3 linked regions of the Cricetulus griseus genome follow. The protein of the gene in region 2 purifies or fractionates together with the protein of the main gene of each other region. This does not show direct contact. Links are inferred from orthologs where the notes say so. Each region holds a gene or a part of one and is shown on either strand. Other genes may lie near its edges. The genes, in order: Dhx15, Sf3b1 and Prpf4.

Region 1 (6,379 bases), on a different chromosome or scaffold from region 2:
CTGGCCTTGAACTCACAGACATCTACTACTGCCTCTGCTTCCCAAGTGCTGGAATTACCTCCTCAGTGGCATCACATATGAAATGATGTGGCAGGATGACACTTTTGCTCTTTTTTTGATTGCCTGTTATGCCCGAGTCATGAGTCCCACCCCCCAGAGACTACCAGGAGTCCAAATTTGTATGCAAAAGCAAAGAGCCTTTATTGCAAGCTTGAGCTTGGACTCTCATTCTGCTCTGACACAGCTGTTGGATCAGGGAGAGCACTGAGCTCAGTTATGGCAGGGCTTTCAAGGAGTAAATGATAGGGTGGGGAGGGGAATTCTGGATTCAGATGGAGGTTGAACTTCTGATTGGGCAGGTATAAGGTAATAGAAGTCTTGTCAAACACGGATAGGTACTGGCGTTTGGCAACCTATATACAAGTTAGGTAAGCTATTCTTAAGGTTCTGGAGCATCTAGTACTTGTTTGTCTCAATTTTGATTGGTCCCCCTGCAGGGTAAAGTCTGTGGTTTTTTCCTAGTTACTGTAAGGGTGAGGTCTAATCCCAGTATTGTTAGCTTGAAGCCTTTCATGGCTGTACTGATGTTAAGTTAGGTATCTTCAGCCCTCATTTTCATCCATCTTGCTGCTGAGGTATTCCTTCCCTGAGGTATTCCTTCCCTATTTCTTTGGGACTCCAACGTAGACCAAAGACCATCTGAGACATCCAGCTTCACAGATTGAACAACTACAGGATTCTTGGCCTTTCTGTTGGGGGATAGCAACTAGCCAGAGAATAGTCTGTAAGTCACGATAATAAATTCATGTATATTTATGATATATAATTGCAAATGGTAATAATTTTATAGAGTAGCTGTCTCCTCTGACTTGGACATGACCATTATCATATAGAAACTGTGATGATAACTCACATGAGATCCTTCTAGGATCTAGTCCATTAACATACATCTTGGAGAGAAGAGGATGCTCATGGGGCTTTACAAGGCTCAAGAATCTGCATAAGAGGCCCGTTCTGTGCAGGAGATATGGAGGGAAACAACGGACTGTGGTGGGACTGACTTCCAACTCAGAGATCCGATTCCCTCTGCCCTCTGGAGTGCTGGGATTAAAGGTGTGTGCTAGCACACTGGCTTAATAGACTGTTAGTGTACATTTAGGATAGAAAGTTGTATTGGATATTGTGAAAGTAATAAAAAGATACTCATTTTTGCCTGGCAGTGGTGGTTCACACCTTTAATCCCAGCACTTAGGAGGCAGAGGGCTGTTACACAGAGAAATCCTGTCTCGAAAAACAAAAACAAACAAACCCACTCATTTTCTTTGTGTTGACTATTTGTTACAAAAATAGAAGTTGCCATCTTTGATTATTCTGTTGTAGTTTTGAGAATTTGCAAGGAACTAGAGCCAAGGGGCAGCCAAGGGGAGTCTTGACATCAAGCGATACCCTGTGTTTGGATGGGTCCTTAGACTTTTCTCCTGCGCTTCTGGGAATGAACGGAACTGACTAAGCACATAGGCTGCAATGTGGGAATTCTGCAATTTGGTCCAGTGACCAATTGGAGCGGGTTGTGTTTTTGTTTTTTTGCCTTAGGGGTGTGCTATCCGTGATCCCTTAAAAACAGTGGGGGAAGGATCCTATGCTCTCTTGGGTGATCAGACCAAGAGTGAGCCGCAGAGAAGCTGGATTGCAGTTTGGTTTCATCACCCTTGGGTGGAACTGCAGGACGGCTGGCGGCAGCGTCTCAGCTCTGTTCTGTGTCGTTGAGTGTATCTTATAGATTTCATTCCTTAATAAGTCTTACCTGGCCCCATACCTCAGCATCCCGCATTATCCGGCAGAAAGATCCACAAAACTCTTAAGGGTTACCTTTCCTCGCCAACTTGCCATTACAGTAGAGTCTTTTTTGTTTGTTTGTTTTTGTTTTTCTGTGTAGCGTTGGCGGTCCTGGAATGTAGACCAGTCTGGCCTCGAACTCGCAGAGATCCGCCTGCCTCTACCTCCCAGACGCTGGGATTGAAGGCGAGCGCCACCACTGCCCGGCTACAGAAGTGTCTTAAAGGCTGAGGCTAGCCTCCTGCTGAGTTTCAGGACAACCAGGGTTACACAGAGAGACCCAAGCCAAACCAAACCAAACCAGACCGGTAGAGCTAACACTGCCATAGACCTAATATGTACTCAAACGGAAGAAGACTAGGGTAGAGAGGCTTGGAGGCAAAAAAAAAAAAAAAAAAAAAAAAAGGTGCATAGTAAGATTACCGCCAATTTTCTGCACCCTATCCAAAACACCTACAGCTTGAATAAACAGATGTTATCTGCTCTGGGGGCAAATGGGCAAAATGAGTCGCGGCAAATTATCATTTTTCTCACCCTGTTGGGCATAGGGCGTAACAGTTGCAAATTCTGGTTCTGGAGTTACAAAATAGTTGTGCCCTGCTCTGCCACTTATCGTCCTTGTGATCTTCATTATTTTCCTAACCTTGCGGAGCTACAGACCCTAAAAGCAAAAATAAAGACACTGGCGGATAGATTTCCTAAATAGGATTAGGCTTTTTCAACTTTTGAGTGAACTCCAGACTGCAAGGAACAGCGAGAGGCGCGTCTCTGTCCCTCCTAGCCGCGGCTCCGAGAGGCGAACCACTCCGAGGCAGAGGGAGGAGCCCGCGGGGCGCCGAACCTTTCAGCCAATGGCACAGCGGAAGGGGCTGGAGTTCCCGCCTCCGGTCGGCGTGCGCGCGCACCACGCCGGCACGCCCGCGGCGGAGGCGCGCGCGCAGGCCCAGCCCTCGTCGCGGCCGCCATTTTAGCTCCTGGTTCGGGCCGCACGGAGCGGGCTGTGGTGGCGGGAGGGGTGGGGGTCCCCGCGAGTTGAGCAGCGGACCTTTTCTGTGTGGATCAGGCTGCTGGAGTCTCTCTTCTTCCTTCCTTCCTAAGCGTCCGCTCTAGGAGTTCGAGGATGTCCAAGCGGCATCGGTTGGACCTTGGGGAGGATTACCCCTCCGGCAAGAAGCGTGCGGGGACCGATGGGTAAGGCAGGCCGGGGCGCGCGGTCGCGGCCCAGGCTTTGTTGGCTTGTGGCGGGGAGCAGGCCCGGCAGCCGAGCCTTTGTCTAGCGCCGGCCGGCTAGGGGCGTGGGCTGAGTGTGTGCGGCTAGGGCGAGAGGCCTGTGGTGGCCACGAGGCCGCGGGCCGCGAGGCCTCGGTGCTCGCGTGAGGCCCGCAGCCGGGAAGAGCGTCCGGAACCCGGTGCCCAAGGACACCGGGCCGCGGGCGGCCCTGGACGATGGCGGGAGCAGTCTACTGGGCGCTAGAGGCGAACCGACTGCAGGGTGCACTGTTTGGCGGGAGACGACGGGCCTCCTTCCATTGAGGCACTTCAGGGGAGGCCGTTGCCAACTTCCGCCCTCCGCCTGCCCTCCCGCCATCTCCTTTATTTCCTGCTTTGCTTAAAAAATCAGTCTTGCTTAGCATCACTGGGGTTGGACTGTGGAAAGATGTATTTCCCCCCTCCGCTGCATAAGTTACTTTCTATCCCCTCCCCACTTTGGACTCACTTTTCAAAAAGTGTTGTTAAGCATGTATGAGCAAACAACCCACGTGCAGATTGAGAAATGCTTCCACCGATTCTTGATCCGGCAGTTTGGTTCCTTTTCTTAGATTTTCGCAAAGGGAAGAGGTATTTAGCATGCAAGCAGTTGTATTAAAACTATCATTTCCCAGTTTTCCTTTCCCAGTTCCCACTTAAAATGTACTTTGGTTTATATTCCTACTCCCCACTTTAGGCCGTTGAATGTTTTCACTTCGGCAGTATGGAGATCTGTTTGGTTAACTAAAAAACAAAATTCACAGAAGCCCGAATATCCAAATTTGTTGCATGGCTTTATCGTTTTCTTGTGCCCTGTGACACCGACTTATCTGTGGCCTTTGAGTTTTTATTCACGGACAGTCCTTTGGGCTTGATTTCTAATTATCAGTGTGACGTATTGGTCAGGGTAGGATGCGTTCTGATACTCTAATTAGATTGAAATGTTGAGCATGGTGTGCAGAATGTCACATTTTGATTGCGTTGATTTTTTTAAAAAAATTCTTGTAATACTAGGCATTGTGATAGCACAGCATCATAAGACAGCTTCTTAGGCCGTCCTCTCATGCAAAAATCCCAAATGCTAGTATATGAGCTGGTCATAGTACTTAGAAACACAGTGTATTCTCCAAGGGAGAGTAGGGTTACAATGAGCTTTTCTGTGCTTTATATAGTGGCATCTAGAACTCCACTTTTCTCAACATGAAACTTAGGAATGTAGTTAGACATTACCACCTGTCATAATGACATTTCTATTGAGTTGCAAAAGGTGGGGACGACATTTGGTTCTGAACTTCTGTGAAGCTAAAAGAATGTCACGTTTGGCTAAGATACAACTAATTTCCCTTGTCAGAGGTCACATTGGAATAAACGTTGGGAAATAGTTTTTTTGTGTGTATGTTCACCATTCAAAAAGCTTTTATTAGGATTAGGGCTTCCGTGTTACAAGTGTATATGGTGATTCCTTTTTCTTGCAAAACATAACCTTGGTAAAATGGACTTTTTGGGTGTATCATGGTAGCTTCATGTTTCCTCTGAATATTACATATTTGTTAGTATAGAAGAGTTAAGTTCATTTGTACAGTGATTCCTTAGTTTCTAGAGATTCTGGAGGGCAGTTGTTACACTGTTTCCTAAGTTTTTTGAGTGCCTTTTCTTATAGAACTGTTTTTCTGTAGTAATGAGTTTATACAGCATTTGTGCTTGATATCCTTCTCCCACCCCCTCACTTAGTTTAATGCACTTTTGACAGCCAGAGATCCTTTGCCCATCCCTTCCTCTCTCCCCTCCATTCTTGGTTAGTGTATTTGACAGCATAGGCCTTTTCAATTTGTGAACCCAGCTGTCACCAGACCCTGTCTTATCTTTTCAGTACACCTTTGTGTGTGTGAATTCATGCCACTGCTTGTGTGTAGCTTTCAGAAGAAAACATGGTACTCCGTTAACCACCTTCCACCAGATGGGCCTTAGGGGTCAACTTAGTGTTTCAGTCTTGGTGGCAAGTGGCTTTACTGGCTGAGCATCTCAACAGCTCTGGAAGAATCTGAAGAAAAGGACATTTTCATTCTAACAGTTTTTTTTTAATATTTCTGATCAGAACTTTTAATTACAGAAGAGGACCTGATACTGTTGTAGGTGCTTTGTATGTAGAAGTGTGTTTCGGTGCAACCCTGTGTAGTAGCTAAGATTAAATAATTAGGTGCAGTGGACAAGAAATGTTCTTATATAAAGGTATAAAGGAAAAGAAAGCAGGAAATTCCTCCAGATCTTCATTTCTTTCTTTGGAGAGCTTATTCATAAATGTGAACTGTAATACCAGTGAGCTCTTAGGATTTGTGTGGATGTATGCTATGATTTTTTTCACTCATAACCACACTGTTAGCCTTCCCATTGGTTGCATAGGTGCAGCTCCTGTCTTGCTCAATAATGTTAAGTAACTTCACAGGGTTTTGTTATTTTGTAGATGAAAAACATTAGCATCTGTGTGTATATGTATATATTAACACGTGCCTAGAAGTTCTGAAAGTGAGATTGTCAGAAAAAGCAGTGTTTATATAAAATACTCTGATGTAGATGACTAGTTTACATCTTTATTGGCAATATACTTGTGCCTGTTACTATTCCATGTACAATTTAAACTGAGCCATCAGCAGTAACCAGTATTCGTTGGTACAGTTCAGATAGGCCAGAGAACATTATCCCAGTATTAGCTTATTTAATGTTATTAGTTCTGTATCAATAGACAAAACTTGCATGTGAGCAAGGAAACACTGACTGTTCTTGATAAATGTCATAGTGTTGACTAAAGAACTATTTAGAGCTTGCTTTGTCTTTCTTCTGAGACAATGTTTCTCTACATCGCTCTGGTTATCCTAGAAACTCAACTGTGTAGACCAGAGATCAGCCTGCTGCCTCTGTCTCCCAAGTTTTGTGGTTAAAGATGTGTACTTCCACACCAGTATTGTTTTTATTTTCTTTAAAATTAAAAGTGTTATGCTTAACTAGCAAATTCTTATGAGAAAAACTTTTTGTAAGTGCCCTTTTTAAACAAGAAGCTGCATATGGACAAGTCTACCTATGCTTGGAGAGGGACTTAAAAACTTACCTTTGTCATTCAGAGTAGCTAGTGTGAACTGCAAAACTAGACCATTGAAGTAGTTTTCTGCATCCCAAATGTTTTCTTCATCACTTTGCTGAGTTTTAGGCCTTTTCTGTGGTTTTTCAACTGGTTGCCTTGCCCCTCTTTTTTGGGGGTGATGTTAAATTCTCACTTTATTCGTCATCGAATCCTTGTGTT
Region 2 (6,279 bases):
CATTGTCTCAAAAACAAAACTAAAGGCCACAAAGATTAACTCATGTTCAGCTTTTATCCCCCACCCTGCATTGTTTTAAAAATAGTGAATCAAAACCTATTTAGCTTAACACATAGGAGACTAACTCACTACAACAAATATTGAAGTAGGAAATTATACCTCTTATGTGAAATAATCCATAATGTTTCTTCTTTAACAGTTCATTTTTAAAAGTCCTCTTAATAAACTCTAGCAAACAACTGTTAATTATTTTTCTGCATTTAGTTTTAGTACTTACCTATCCATTAATGCATCCTCAAGTAAAGGCGTTACAGCATAGATGTAGTCTTTTCCCATCTCACCAATATACTCAAACAAGAAGGAGAGTGACTTTAACACTCCATTCTGCACATTAAGTTCAGGAACTCTGTATTCATTCATTAAGGCAGGGAGTACTGTGAAGGGTGAGCATGTTTCAGCAACAATGGCAATTGCTACAGTAGTGCAAACTCTGTTCTGCCTTTCCTGAACTTTGAGGTTGTTTAAAAGTGTTGCCAGTACATCATGAGGGCTGAAAAGAAACAAGAAATATGTCAGCAAATTATTACTTATTAAACTTGTTCTCAGAGAAAAGAAAACCTTTCTGATAAAATGCAGTGCTTTTCTCATCACTAGGAGTGTAGCTTTTGACTAACCTTCATACAGGGAAGGAGGAAATGAGGTAATTGTAAGTTTTTTTTTAATAGCTTCATACAAATTGTCAGATTTTTCTTAATGTTAATTCAGGCGGACTCATTTTCAAATATAATTTTTACTCTTTAAACTTTTTGAAATATAAAGAAATGTAAATGGTGAAATTCAAAGACAGGCAGACTATCCAAAACAAGAATATCCAAAATTCTGGACTCCCGTGCTAAAACACATAAAATCTGTTCCTCATTGTCCTCATTAGCCCCCCTCCCATGTTTATGTTGGGCAGGGTCTCCTTGCCTAGCTCTGGCTGCCTCCACCAAGCTTTTACAAATTTCCTTTGCTAAAGCTCAGAGACACACTGTAGCTAACCAAGTTTACATAGTAGCTACCCTGAAGGTAGCAACACCTAACTCTACATCTTCTCTATTGTTTCCCAAAGCATTTTCTAGTAAATGTTTCCTCTTAGCTCCTGTGAGAAAGCACTCTCACCAAAACTTGTGGAAAAAAAGAGTTTGCTTCAGCTTCCATGTCCAGGTCATAGTCCATCACTGAGAGAAGTCAGGTAGGAAGTCAAGCACAAACCACGGAGGAATGTTGCTTACTGGCTTGCTCCTAGGATCATGACCAACTTACTTTCTTATATAGTCCAAGACACACTCTCAAAGATGGCACCACCCACAAGGAGACAGGACCTCCCACATATGTCAAAAATCAAGACAATTACTTATCAACATGGTCACAGGCCAATCTGATCTGTGTCAAGGTTACAGCTAAACCTTGCTAGAACACTGGAAAATGGCACATTCATAGTTTCATTGTCTACAATTAACTTCTTCTCTCAGTTGGGTTCTGATGAAGCAGCAAATAACCATAAGGGAATTAATAAGGCAGATGAAATCTGGAGTAACCTTGGAACAATGTGTTTTAAAAACACATGAAGTTAGCATTAAGATATGAATTACATATAAATACTGTACATTGGCCCACACCTTTAATCTCAGCAACAGAAGACAGAATACACTAATCTCTTGAGTTCAAGGCCAGGCAGGAACTACACAGTGAGACTCTGCCCCACCCCATCCCCTACACCCTGAGGAAAAATAAGAAAAAAAGGAAAAATATGTAAAAGAGGAGTTGAATGGGTAGATGAGATCACAGTTAAGAGCGCTGGCTGCTCTTCCAGAGGACCTGGGTATGATTCCCAGCTCCCACATGGCAGCTAACAACCTTCTCTAACTCCAAGTTCCAATGAATCTAATACTATCTTCCAGTCTCTAAGGGTACCAGGATAACAAGTGGCATACAGACATGTGTGCAGGCAAAGCACTTATATACATAAAAAAAAAAATTAAATGCCAAAAACAAAGAAAGATTTAAAGTAAGTTTAATATACAAAAAAATCCCTTCGTATCAAGAATTTCACACAGGCATAATAATGAGTTTCTGTCAAACCCACCCTTTTCTTTTTAATGCCTCTCCCACCTCTCCCTTCCCCGATGAGTCCTCCCCAACCTTATGTACTCTTTTCACAGAGTCAGCTCAGTGGTTAAGAACGCTAGCTATTCTACTGGAGGACCAAGGTTAGATAGATTCCCAGCCCTCACACAGTGACTCACAACCATCTATACCTTCAGCTCTAGGGGATCCAACACCCTACAAGGCATTAGGCATGTACATGTGTCAATACATGCATATACATATAGGCAAAACACTCAATAGGCATAAAGAAAATGAATCTAAAGAAAATAGTTAAATTCACTAAGTCTACATGGTGCTATTAAGCATGCTATAGAAGCATGTACAGCCTCCCAGAGGTCACATCTTTTAAAACTGACTCTCCCCAGCAGTCACCAATTGCAACAGCTCCTCAGACAGGGACTTCATGAACCCCTCCCTCATCCATGCCAGTGGTTTTGCTGGCTTGACCTTGTGCAGGTCATGTGCTTGCAGTTACAACGGATGTAAATTCATGTGGGCAACTACACCATCATGTACAAGTGCTCTTTTGCTGCAGATGGCTACTACCCACTTTAAATCCCACTCTTCCAAAACCATTACCACATCTTGAGGATTAGGGGTGTTATATAACTGTCCTTTATTATGTTAAATGACAATGATAAAACTGCCCCTATGTTTTCATCTTTATACCCATAAGTCCGTCCATTTCTCAACCCTTATCAGAGAAGCTTTAAACTTTTTAAAGTATGTTTGTTAGTATGTATGAGTGTTTTGCCTGCAGGTGTGCCTGCACTGCATGTGTTCATGCCTGTAGAAGGCATCAAATCCCCTGACATGGATTGTAAGGCAAGTGGGTGCTAGGAATCAAAGCTGGCTCCTCTGGACAGTAGCCAGTGCTCTTAACTGCTAAGCCATCTTTCCAGCCCCAGAGAAGCTTCTTTTTATCATTAAGAGCAATTAAAATAGAAGCCCATAATTGGACAACAGGGAGATTAAAAGATGTGAAGTACTCATCCCTTAATATTTTAAGCAATATCCTAGCCAGGCATGGGGGCACATGCTCTTAATATGATTTTAATCCCAGCACTGGGGAGGAAGATCAGAGTTTGAGACCAGCCTGGTCTACATAGTTCCAGGACACTGTCTCAAAAGGAGAAAAAAATTCAGCAATATCCTAAAACACCAACAAAAATCTGAATATACACTGAAAATGAACTATTTCCCTCTCTAAAAATATCTACACTGCAGAAGGGGAAATTTTAAAGCATTCCATCTATTTTGGTTCTACTAAGAGTTTAAAGAAGTATTTTTAAATGGGAAGGAAAGTTCATCGATTAAATGAAATGCTTTTTCTTGAAATGATTTAACTATGCTTCAAAAGATTTGTCTACATGAAAACACTTTCCAACAATGAGTTTATTATAACCTACTAAAAAATGAAAATACTCACCCAATGGCCTTTGCAATATAACCGAAAGTGTTGACGGTAGCTCTTCGAATAGCTTTTTTGTGAGCTTTTAAGAGCTCTAAAAGCTCAAAGCAAATCCTCATCCACTCTCTTGCAGATACATATTCAGCTCCCCTAATTAAAAAAAAATAATATTAAATGAGTTGCCAGCCTGGTCTACAGAGTTCCAAGCACAGAGAAACCCCATCTCAAAGAAAAAAAAACAAAACTAAACTGCTACTTCTTATTACCAGCCAAAGTGAAATTTCCCTAAAAATAGTGATTTTGGATAACCTGACCATATGTACTTAGGTAAGCAACTTTAAGTAAAACTTGCTTGATGAATACAAACCTGCTAAATCTAAAGAGAAACACTGCCTACTTGAACTAAGTATGAGAATGTTACTACTTACAAAAGATGTTGGATAATCTGCTTACCTGTCAGCAATGCGCCCAACAAGATCGATACAATTCTCCTGTACTTTTTCATGCCTGTTCTTCAAGATGGGGGTGAGTCTAGGCAGGAGATCTTTAATTGGTGGTGTCATCTTATGCATACCTATTTGACAGAAATCAAGGAACTATTAAAACCTCAAGTGCAACCTCTGTTCACTTTCCCTTTTACTGTGCAATGCAATGTATAAACATAAACTCATGAGCTATATCTATGGATAAAAGCACCAGATTCTAATTAGACTTAAATTTTTTTTAAACTACCAATAGCTTCTATTACACATAGAAATGAAAGAAATCAGTGATTTAAAGAATAAGGGTTACTCAACAAAAAGGTTTTATTTGGTTTTGAAATGCTATTTGTACACTGACATTTAAATATGGGGACAGCCTATGTTCTGATCAAATACAACAATATAAGCAAAAGAGGACATGTAAATCAAATCAGAAAGGCCCCCATACCCTCTAACTGTAAAACAAAACAGATCTCCAGTCTCCCTGAAATGCAGGGCATATGTGCATGGTATTTAAACCTATGAAGAGAGAGAAAAAGAGGATGCTAGCAGAGGCTCTAACTAGAACTGCTTGTTCTGATTCTCCATCGTTTTTCTCATGTTTCCCAGATAATATGGTTTACAACTCTCTGAAAAGCCAGAGACCCACAAGCGTCTAAATGACTGCTGGCAAGTCAGTATCTTTAAAGTATACAAGACTGGGCTGAACCTGGGGATCATATGTAAATGCAACTGTTCTTAGATCTAATCATCAATCAGTCAGGTATTATGAACTCTTGGCCTTTTTCCAACCCTTTCAGTCCTAATGGACTTACTTTAGACACTATGTTTAAATACAATGAGTTGGTTTTTGGCTTGTTTTGTTTTCTGAGACAGGGTTTCTCTGTGTAGCCTTGGCTATCCAGCTCTATAGAACAGACTGGCCTCTAATTCACAGAGATCCGCCTGCCTTCCAAGTGCTAGGGATGAAAGTCATATGCCACCACTGTCCAGCTACAAGAGATTTTAAACACAGGATTGCCTTTGTTTTTGCATTCATTACTTCCTGAAAAAAAATAAAAATAAAAAGTTCTCTCTCCATACCCAAGATGGTTACATAGATGTGTCTTTACTTATGGTGAAAAGACAGGCTAGTTTGCTGTCCTCTTCTTTGAACTCACAGCAAACAAAAAATCCTAATAACCTATCAAAATACTTTAACATAGAAGTCTGAGTAGATAAAGAACATTTCTAAAATTAAATCACAACCTCAGGGTTGCTCCTCCCCTTCCAGAAGATTCTGGATTACTTTTCTAATTGATGCACTAGTTCTAGAAGGGTCCTCTCTCCCAGTAACCATTTCCATACCTAGTATATCCTAAATTTCCCCTTTAAGGTTTTCAAGTAAAATACAAATGGACAACAGGGACTTTTATGACATTCTCTGACAACCCTGAAGTGTTTAAAAAAAAAAAATCCTAAATACGACTTTATATTTTACTTTCAAAATACAAAGAAAATGACAAAGCCAAATCTAAACATAGTCAGTCAGGCAATCACATACCTATTACATTTACAATAGCCTTCAGTGCTCCAAGAATGCTGCCCAATACTTCAGGGTATTCTTCACCCAAATATTCATACAGTACCACACCCAAGTGCCCCATCAGTTTTTCCTGTAATGAAAGAATGATTTAAAACAATATTTTCTCCATTAAACAAATTAAACCTGCTGTATGTATGTATGTATGTATGTATGTATGTATGTATGTATGTATGTATGTATAAACCTGGTAGAATAGATTACCTCTTGACAAGTCTTCATAACAACAGCAGTTCTGGAAATCAAGTCGGCTGCTTGTTGTCGAACTTTTGCTGACTTGTTATTTAAACGCCACAAAACTGTACCACAGATCTGAGGCAAGTATGGTTTGACTCGTTTGCCAAGAGCATTAACTACTGTGCCAAAGCCATTCAACATTACAGAATCCTAAAAGAGAAAAGCTAAGTTACAATATTTAAAAAACAAAAATCACTAAAAATACAAAATTTAGTTTTAACTGAAAGTTGATTAAATAACATTCAATCTTTACCAACCACCCAAACATGCTGTTGTTTTTAAATCAAATCCAAAAATCTGAGGTAAAAGAAACTGGTACTGAAAATGCTAAAACTTAAATTACTTTTAAGTGATACCTGCTTTTAAAGTAAGTTTTCTACATATGCAAGAGTCAACTGCAATGTGGCACAATAGTT
Region 3 (6,379 bases), about 330 Mb from region 2:
CTTCTTTCAAACTCTGCCAAGACTTCTGCCTGCCGCTCACTGATGTGCTCCTCAATTTCAAATACTTCCCCTATGCAAAGGACAGGCAACATGGGGGAAAGAAACAATCAGTCTCTGTATCCTAGAATATAGCTTCTTATATTGGATAGAGTGCCATAAGGTATGTAACTGTGGGGCTGTTGAAGAATTCAGCAATATTGAAGGGTTTCTGAAGATGCAGTGACCAACAATTAATCCAAAATCAAATTCAAAACAAATCAGGGTTGCTTTTGGCAGGGCCTGTGGGCCTCATCATGAATCTTTGCTGCAACCTTGGTTTTGAGCATGTGCAACTCTGCAATGTACTTACAGTCTGTCATGCCATGCGACACTAAGGAACACTACCTCAAAAGCCTGTTATGAATTGTAATATCCCTTTTTTGGCTTTTTTGAGACAGGGTTTCTCTGTGTAGCCTTGGCTGTCCTGAAACTCACTTTGTAGACTAGACTGGCTTCGAATTCACAGAGATCCGCCTGAGTGCTGGGATTAAAGGTGTGAGCCTGGCCAAATTTCCACATTTTTACAAAGTTTGCTTTTATAGAGACATGATTCAGCTACGGGAAAAAAAAGATTTAATTTCCTCAGCATCAAGTATCAAATAGTTTTATCTCTCACTTATACTGTATTAAAATGTTTGATTATTTAAAATTGTTGCTTGGCCAAAACAGAAAAGAAGGATGGTGAAGAGCTCAGTGTGGCAGTGCATGCCTATAATATCTGCACATGGGAGGAGGCAAGAAGACCAGGAGATCAATGTCAGACTTGGCTACACAGTGACTTTCAGGACAACATGGGCCATACAGACCTTGTCAGAAAGAAAGGAAGGGCCAACAACAAAAAAAAACTCACTATCTGAGTTGCTGATTTAAATAAATAAATGAATGAATGAATGAATGAATGAATGTACCATGAAAAACATTTAAAATGCTCCATGTCTTGCAATATTAAATATTCAGGCAAGATTTAATTCTTTATTAATAAATATGTCTGAAGTGTAAATCCAATTAATCTTAATCAATAAAACCCAGGAGCCAGATAGTGGGGTAAAAGCTGGAAGATCAGAGAACTAGCAGTCCCCTTCCTCTGTCCAAAAGGGCTCAGATCTTGTCTCTACTCCACCTTATTACAGCCTGTCTCCACCTCCTGAGTGGTGTGTAGACAGGATCAGCTCAAGCTATGCAACCTAGGATGCTCCCTGTCCTTGTGACCTTCCTGCCTTCAGGACATGAGTGCTAGGATGACAGGTGTGTGCCATCATGCCAGGCAAGTACTCATCACTAAACTTTACCTTTCTGTGCTAATCTAATTGCTTATGACAAATATGCATAACTTTATTTTTAAAATATAAAACTCTTAAGCTGGGCATGGTGGCTCCCATCTGTTATTCAGTACAAGGAGGGCACAGTAGAAAGACTGCCACAACTTCTAGGCCAGCTTGAGCTATAGTGGAGATCTTGTCTCAAAAACCAAAATTAATCAATACATTTCTTGACGGTAATATAAAGAGACAAACCTCAACAGTATACAAGGGAAAAAATGTAGGCTATAAAACAATTTACACATCATGGTACCATTTATAGAAGAAATACATCCAATTCACAATATAGATTTTCTACCTCATAGAGACACATGTTGATTTTTTAAAATCTTTTAAAATTACTGTCCCTTCATACTAAAAAACATTATTTTAATCTAGGTTTGAAAAAAAAATATAACTAGAAAGCTGGGCAATGGTGGTGCACGCCTTTAATCCCAGCATTCAGGAGCAGTCCAGGGCTACACAGAGAAACCCTGTCTTGAAAGGTAAAGACACAAAGAAACAAACTAGAAAAGTAAAGGAGAGAATACTATAAACAGCTTGAGTCATGCATCAATGCCAGAACTACTCTACATCTCCCAAAGACAAATACAACTGATGAATCAAAACACCCACTGAAGTTTTCAAAGATCATCAGTAACTTGTATCAGGAACTGTATGAAATATAAGAAAAACACGCTCTGGATAATGCCAAGAAGCGAAAGCCAAAGACTCCATGGTAAGAACAGAAGAGTACGGATGTGTGCATGAGCAGATGTGGAAGTCAATGTTTCCTCAACATTGGGATTACCACCACATTCAGTTTTAAAAAATTTAATTATGTACTTTATATATGATGCTCTATCTGCATGTATGCCTGCATGTCAGAAGGCATCAAACCCTTTATAGATGGTTATGAGCTGCCATGTAGTTGCTGGGAATTGAACTCAGGACCTCTGGAAGAGCAGCTAGTGCTCTAAACCACTGAGCCATCTCTCCAGCCCCTTTTTGTTATTTTGCCTTGTTTTTTTCAGAGATGAGGACTAACCCTTGTGCTTGCTGGGCAAGTGCTCAACCACTGAGCTAAAGCTCCAACCCCTCAGCCCTGTCCCCCAAACAAAACATGGTTCCAGGGAATCAATCTCAAGCCCTAATGGTTGCACAGCAAACCTTTTGTCACCTGAAGTAGACCCCCAGGCCAAGAATCGAAGGTTTTGACCCTATAAATCTTAATGTTACTTGGTCTGGGAAGGTGTTCATCTGAAAATTGGATCATTAAAGGTGCAGGGCAGTGTAGACGTGGTTCTAGTACCCGGGAGGAGGCAGAAGGCAGTTCAAAGGCAACTGACTAGCCAAATGTGTGGTTCAGTGGTGGAACACTTGCCTAGCATGCAAAAAAACCCTGTGTTGGAGTCCCTGGCAGTTAAAAAAAAAAAAAAAAAGTAAAGATGATTCACAATTTGGGTCTTACCGGAGGTTATATTAATATTTCCAGCTTCAATGCCTGCTTTGAGTCCTTCTTTTCCCAAAATCCCAGACTCTCCTTTGGCCAGACGTTCCCTCTCTTTCTCTTCCAAGCTTCCATAATAGATGTGTGGTTTCTTCACAACAGGAGCAACTAAATCATCAGGTGCTTTAGTTTTAGTTGCCTGTTAAATCAAAGACCCTGGTTAAGGTCCTAGTAAACCATGCTTCCCAAACGAATGAAACTAACGCTTTCATTTTATTTTCTCCAAAAGCTAAAGGACAAGGTGGGTATCCGTCAAGATTGATTTTGTGCGAGTTTAGACTCTCGTTAAGTTTGGCAGACAAATACAACGAATCAATTTCTGTTTGAAGTATCTGGTTTGCTTTGGGGCCCTTTTACTTTATTTTATTTGAAATGCAATCTCCGGTTTTACAAAAATAACTGCCCATCACTGGACAAATACCAAGAATAACCTAAACAATCAGGGTGGCTTTCGGTGCACCACGTTACTGGAATACACATTTCAAATACTTCCAGAGCGGATTAGAAGTTGGGAGGCCTCATCGTTAAGTCCCGAGTCATACAGTTTAAGTCAAGACATGTCTCCACTTCTAAGCACCGTGTTTTGGAGCAGTTAGAGACAGTGTTCACCGCTCGGGGCTGAAGTGAGAGTGGTGCAAAAAGAGCTGTAGCACACGAAAGCGTTTAGAAGTCAGGAAAAGGCTGCTCCACACTAGGGTCCCTCAGCCTTCCTCCTCCGCCCTGACCCTCGAGGTAACGGCCCCTTCCCGCGGGGACCCCGCCCTCTCTGGGAGAGGACCGGCCTGAGCTGCGATCCGGAGCCCCGTACCGTGGAAGAGGCTCGTGAGGAGGCCATGCTGGGCTCTGGAGCCTCGAGGCCCTAACCAAATCCGCGCTCTCCTTTTCAGACCGTCCACCGCGCGCCCAGCAAAGTGGAAGTGCGTCACTGGCCGGAAACGTACCAGGAGCGTACTCTGTGCTCTGGTAGTCGCGAAGTATCTTGGTCGTCGTAGTTGCCCAACGTCGGCTGGCGTCGAGGGGCGTGGCCTCATAGAGCGTCTCCACAAGCTCGCGGGAGAAGAGGCGTGTGGGAAGAGAGGCTCAGAGCAGCCTGGGAAGTGTAGTTCGGGCAGGACAGCAATGGCTTCATGGTGGGAGTTGAGGTTCTGGGAAGCTGCAGAGGCCTGAAAAGAGGTAGGTTCGTGGATCTCGACTGTAATCATGAGCGAACCGAGGGTCTCTGCTCTCCTTCGGGAGACCTTCCGTCATCTCGCAGCCGAGGGCTGTGTTGCCATGGAAATCTCTCCCTAGACTAGTGCAGCTTAGGAGCTGGGAAAGCGGACTGTTGTCCACGTCGGCACGGAAGTCTTCCCGGGGGCCCCTCGTAACTGCGTGGCTTCGCAGTGACTTTGGGCTTCAAGAAGACATTAAACTCGAAGAGTCTTCTAGGACTAAAATAAAGACGTGGCGGGGGAGCTGCGGCCTACTTTGTTGTTGGGTTACTTGTCTACAACCGTATTCTTTGTATGTGGTCTTTGAGATAAAGGGGCCAGGGAGGCGCCAGGGAGAGTGCATACCAGCAGCTCTCGCTCCACTGATGCTAGGCCATCGGAGATAAGGTTTTCTTTTTATCCTTACATGAAGATTGTGGGGATTGCCAAAATATTCGTGTTTGCTGAACTGGACAGACTCACTCCCACTCTTAAGCCTCTTCCCCAAACAAATGCAATCATAGGGACACTTTCTCTTCGAATGCTTTGCTTACTAAATGCTAAATTATGCGCAAGGAGCATATTCTATTTTAGTCATTCAAGTCACGAGACAACAGAGTACATAAAATAAATAATTGTGAGAAATGAAGCTAACCCGTCGTTCTGGAGCCATAGTGTAGTAGGATTACTAAAGTAGCGGGTGGAGAGCAGTTCTTTTAACCCGCACTCAATATCGCCCTCTAGTGTTGAGGCTTTCAGTGTGTACACAAGTAGAAAACTTTTCTTCTAATTATTTCTTCCTTTTTCTTTGGAGCTGGATTCCTCTTCCATTTCTTTACTTAGGGATCTGGTAGAAGGTGGTAGCTGATTTAGAATAAAATAATTTGAAATGTCATGGGCCAGTGTTTTGTATTGATTATATCAACCCCTGGTTGTGCTAAGCCTCCTGAGAAAAAGATAAATGTTTCTTCATTTGTATACATCATAGTTTTTTGTCCCATACGACAGTAATTTATTTGTATGCACACTATAGCAGAACTTTCACTTAGATTGTTATCATTTAACTTTTTTTGGGGGTGAGGTGGGGGTTGAGACAAGGATTTTCCGTGGCTTTGGAGGCTGTCCTGGAACTAGCTCTTATAGACCAGGCTGGTCTCTAACTCACAGAGATCTGCCTGCCTCTGCCTCCCGAGAGCTGGGATTAAAGGCGTGCCCATCACCGCCCCTCGCCTTGTGAAGTTTTAAAACCTATTCCGTTCTTTAAAAATTGAGGTAAACAGTTTAGTTAACAATATGAGCCTCCGATAAAAGTTACATACAGAACATGATAGCCTGGAGGTGGTGGCGCATGTCTTTAATCCCAGTTCTCGCCTTTAATCACAGCTATCCGGAGGCAGAGGCAGGTGGACCTCTATGAGTTCAAGACCAGCTTGGTCTACAAGAGCTAGTTCCAGGGCAGCCTCCAAAGCCACAGAGAAACCCTGTCTCAAAAAAAAAGGAGCCTGTGCCAAGCCTGATGGTAGAAAGAGAAAACTGACTCCCAAAGGTTGTCCTCTGACCTCTATTCAGGGAGCTGTGTGCTCCCACCAACACCCAATAAAAATTAATTATATTTTTTTTCAAAAAGCAAACGTTTTTAAAGTTTTTAAAGAGAAAAAAAAATAATAGCAGAGTCTAGGACTCAGAAAAAGTTAGTTTCAGTTTTTCTATTTGGATAGCTTAGTATATCCCAAAACTTGTTGTCTGCTTATTATGGGTACTGTGGAGGACATAAAGATGATACCTTCCACGGGTACTTAGCTCCACTTAGTTTTTGTTCTGAAACAAACATGGGCTTTGGTAACACAAGCATTCATTTGCCATATGTATAAAATGATTTGAACTTCTGTGGCCTTATTGGTCTCTGTCTACCCTTCAAATTCACAAACACACCTTTTCCCATGGAGAATTGACATCCCTAGCTACTCCTCTGCAGCCTAGCCTGGGCTGAGCGTTCATGCAGGGCTCAGAGTTCCGATTTTATACTACATTATCATAGTCTCTGGTCTTGTCTGTTTTCTTCACAGGTTACAACAGTGACTTTAAACATCTCTAGGTCAGCACAGAAAGCATCTAATTAATGCATGATTTACCCATTTAGGACCTCATTAGATCGTGTGGACACTCCTGTGAATTGGTAAGTTTGGCTTTCATGAGATTTAAGCCATGGTTTTAACATCCAGGTATGGTCACAATCTCTGGTGATGTTTATAGAAAGCAGATTGAATGTATGGCTTGTCCACTTTCCCTAACTATGCTTAATTAAAGATGAGATAGTTAGCCATTTCCCCCTTTCCTTTGTG

What was found.
Region 1: the proteins of Sf3b1 (region 2) and Dhx15 purify together in Homo sapiens (co-immunoprecipitation; 6 studies listed by BioGRID and IntAct, with this or other methods). This does not show direct contact. The link is inferred for Cricetulus griseus from reciprocal best matches to the Homo sapiens genes SF3B1 and DHX15.
Region 3: the proteins of Sf3b1 (region 2) and Prpf4 purify together in Homo sapiens (co-immunoprecipitation; 3 studies listed by BioGRID and IntAct, with this or other methods). This does not show direct contact. The link is inferred for Cricetulus griseus from reciprocal best matches to the Homo sapiens genes SF3B1 and PRPF4.

The regions. Positions count from the first base shown.
Region 1 is NW_023276807.1:120,438,964-120,445,342, reverse strand, and holds the start of Dhx15 (pre-mRNA-splicing factor ATP-dependent RNA helicase DHX15), read left to right. Parts: upstream 1-2,799; 5' UTR 2,800-2,956; coding exon 2,957-3,027; intron 3,028-6,379.
Region 2 is NC_048595.1:409,438,159-409,444,437, forward strand, and holds part of Sf3b1 (splicing factor 3B subunit 1), read right to left. Parts: intron 6,014-6,279; coding exon 5,831-6,013; intron 5,700-5,830; coding exon 5,588-5,699; intron 4,137-5,587; coding exon 4,016-4,136; intron 3,713-4,015; coding exon 3,581-3,712; intron 551-3,580; coding exon 278-550; intron 1-277. UniProt on the Homo sapiens protein: Component of the 17S U2 SnRNP complex of the spliceosome, a large ribonucleoprotein complex that removes introns from transcribed pre-mRNAs.
Region 3 is NC_048595.1:83,459,696-83,466,074, forward strand, and holds the start of Prpf4 (U4/U6 small nuclear ribonucleoprotein Prp4), read right to left. Parts: upstream 3,819-6,379; 5' UTR 3,683-3,818; coding exon 3,656-3,682; intron 2,987-3,655; coding exon 2,809-2,986; intron 71-2,808; coding exon 1-70. Other genes in the region: anaphase-promoting complex subunit CDC26, read left to right, coding at 6,161-6,213. UniProt on the Homo sapiens protein: Plays a role in pre-mRNA splicing as component of the U4/U6-U5 tri-snRNP complex that is involved in spliceosome assembly, and as component of the precatalytic spliceosome (spliceosome B complex).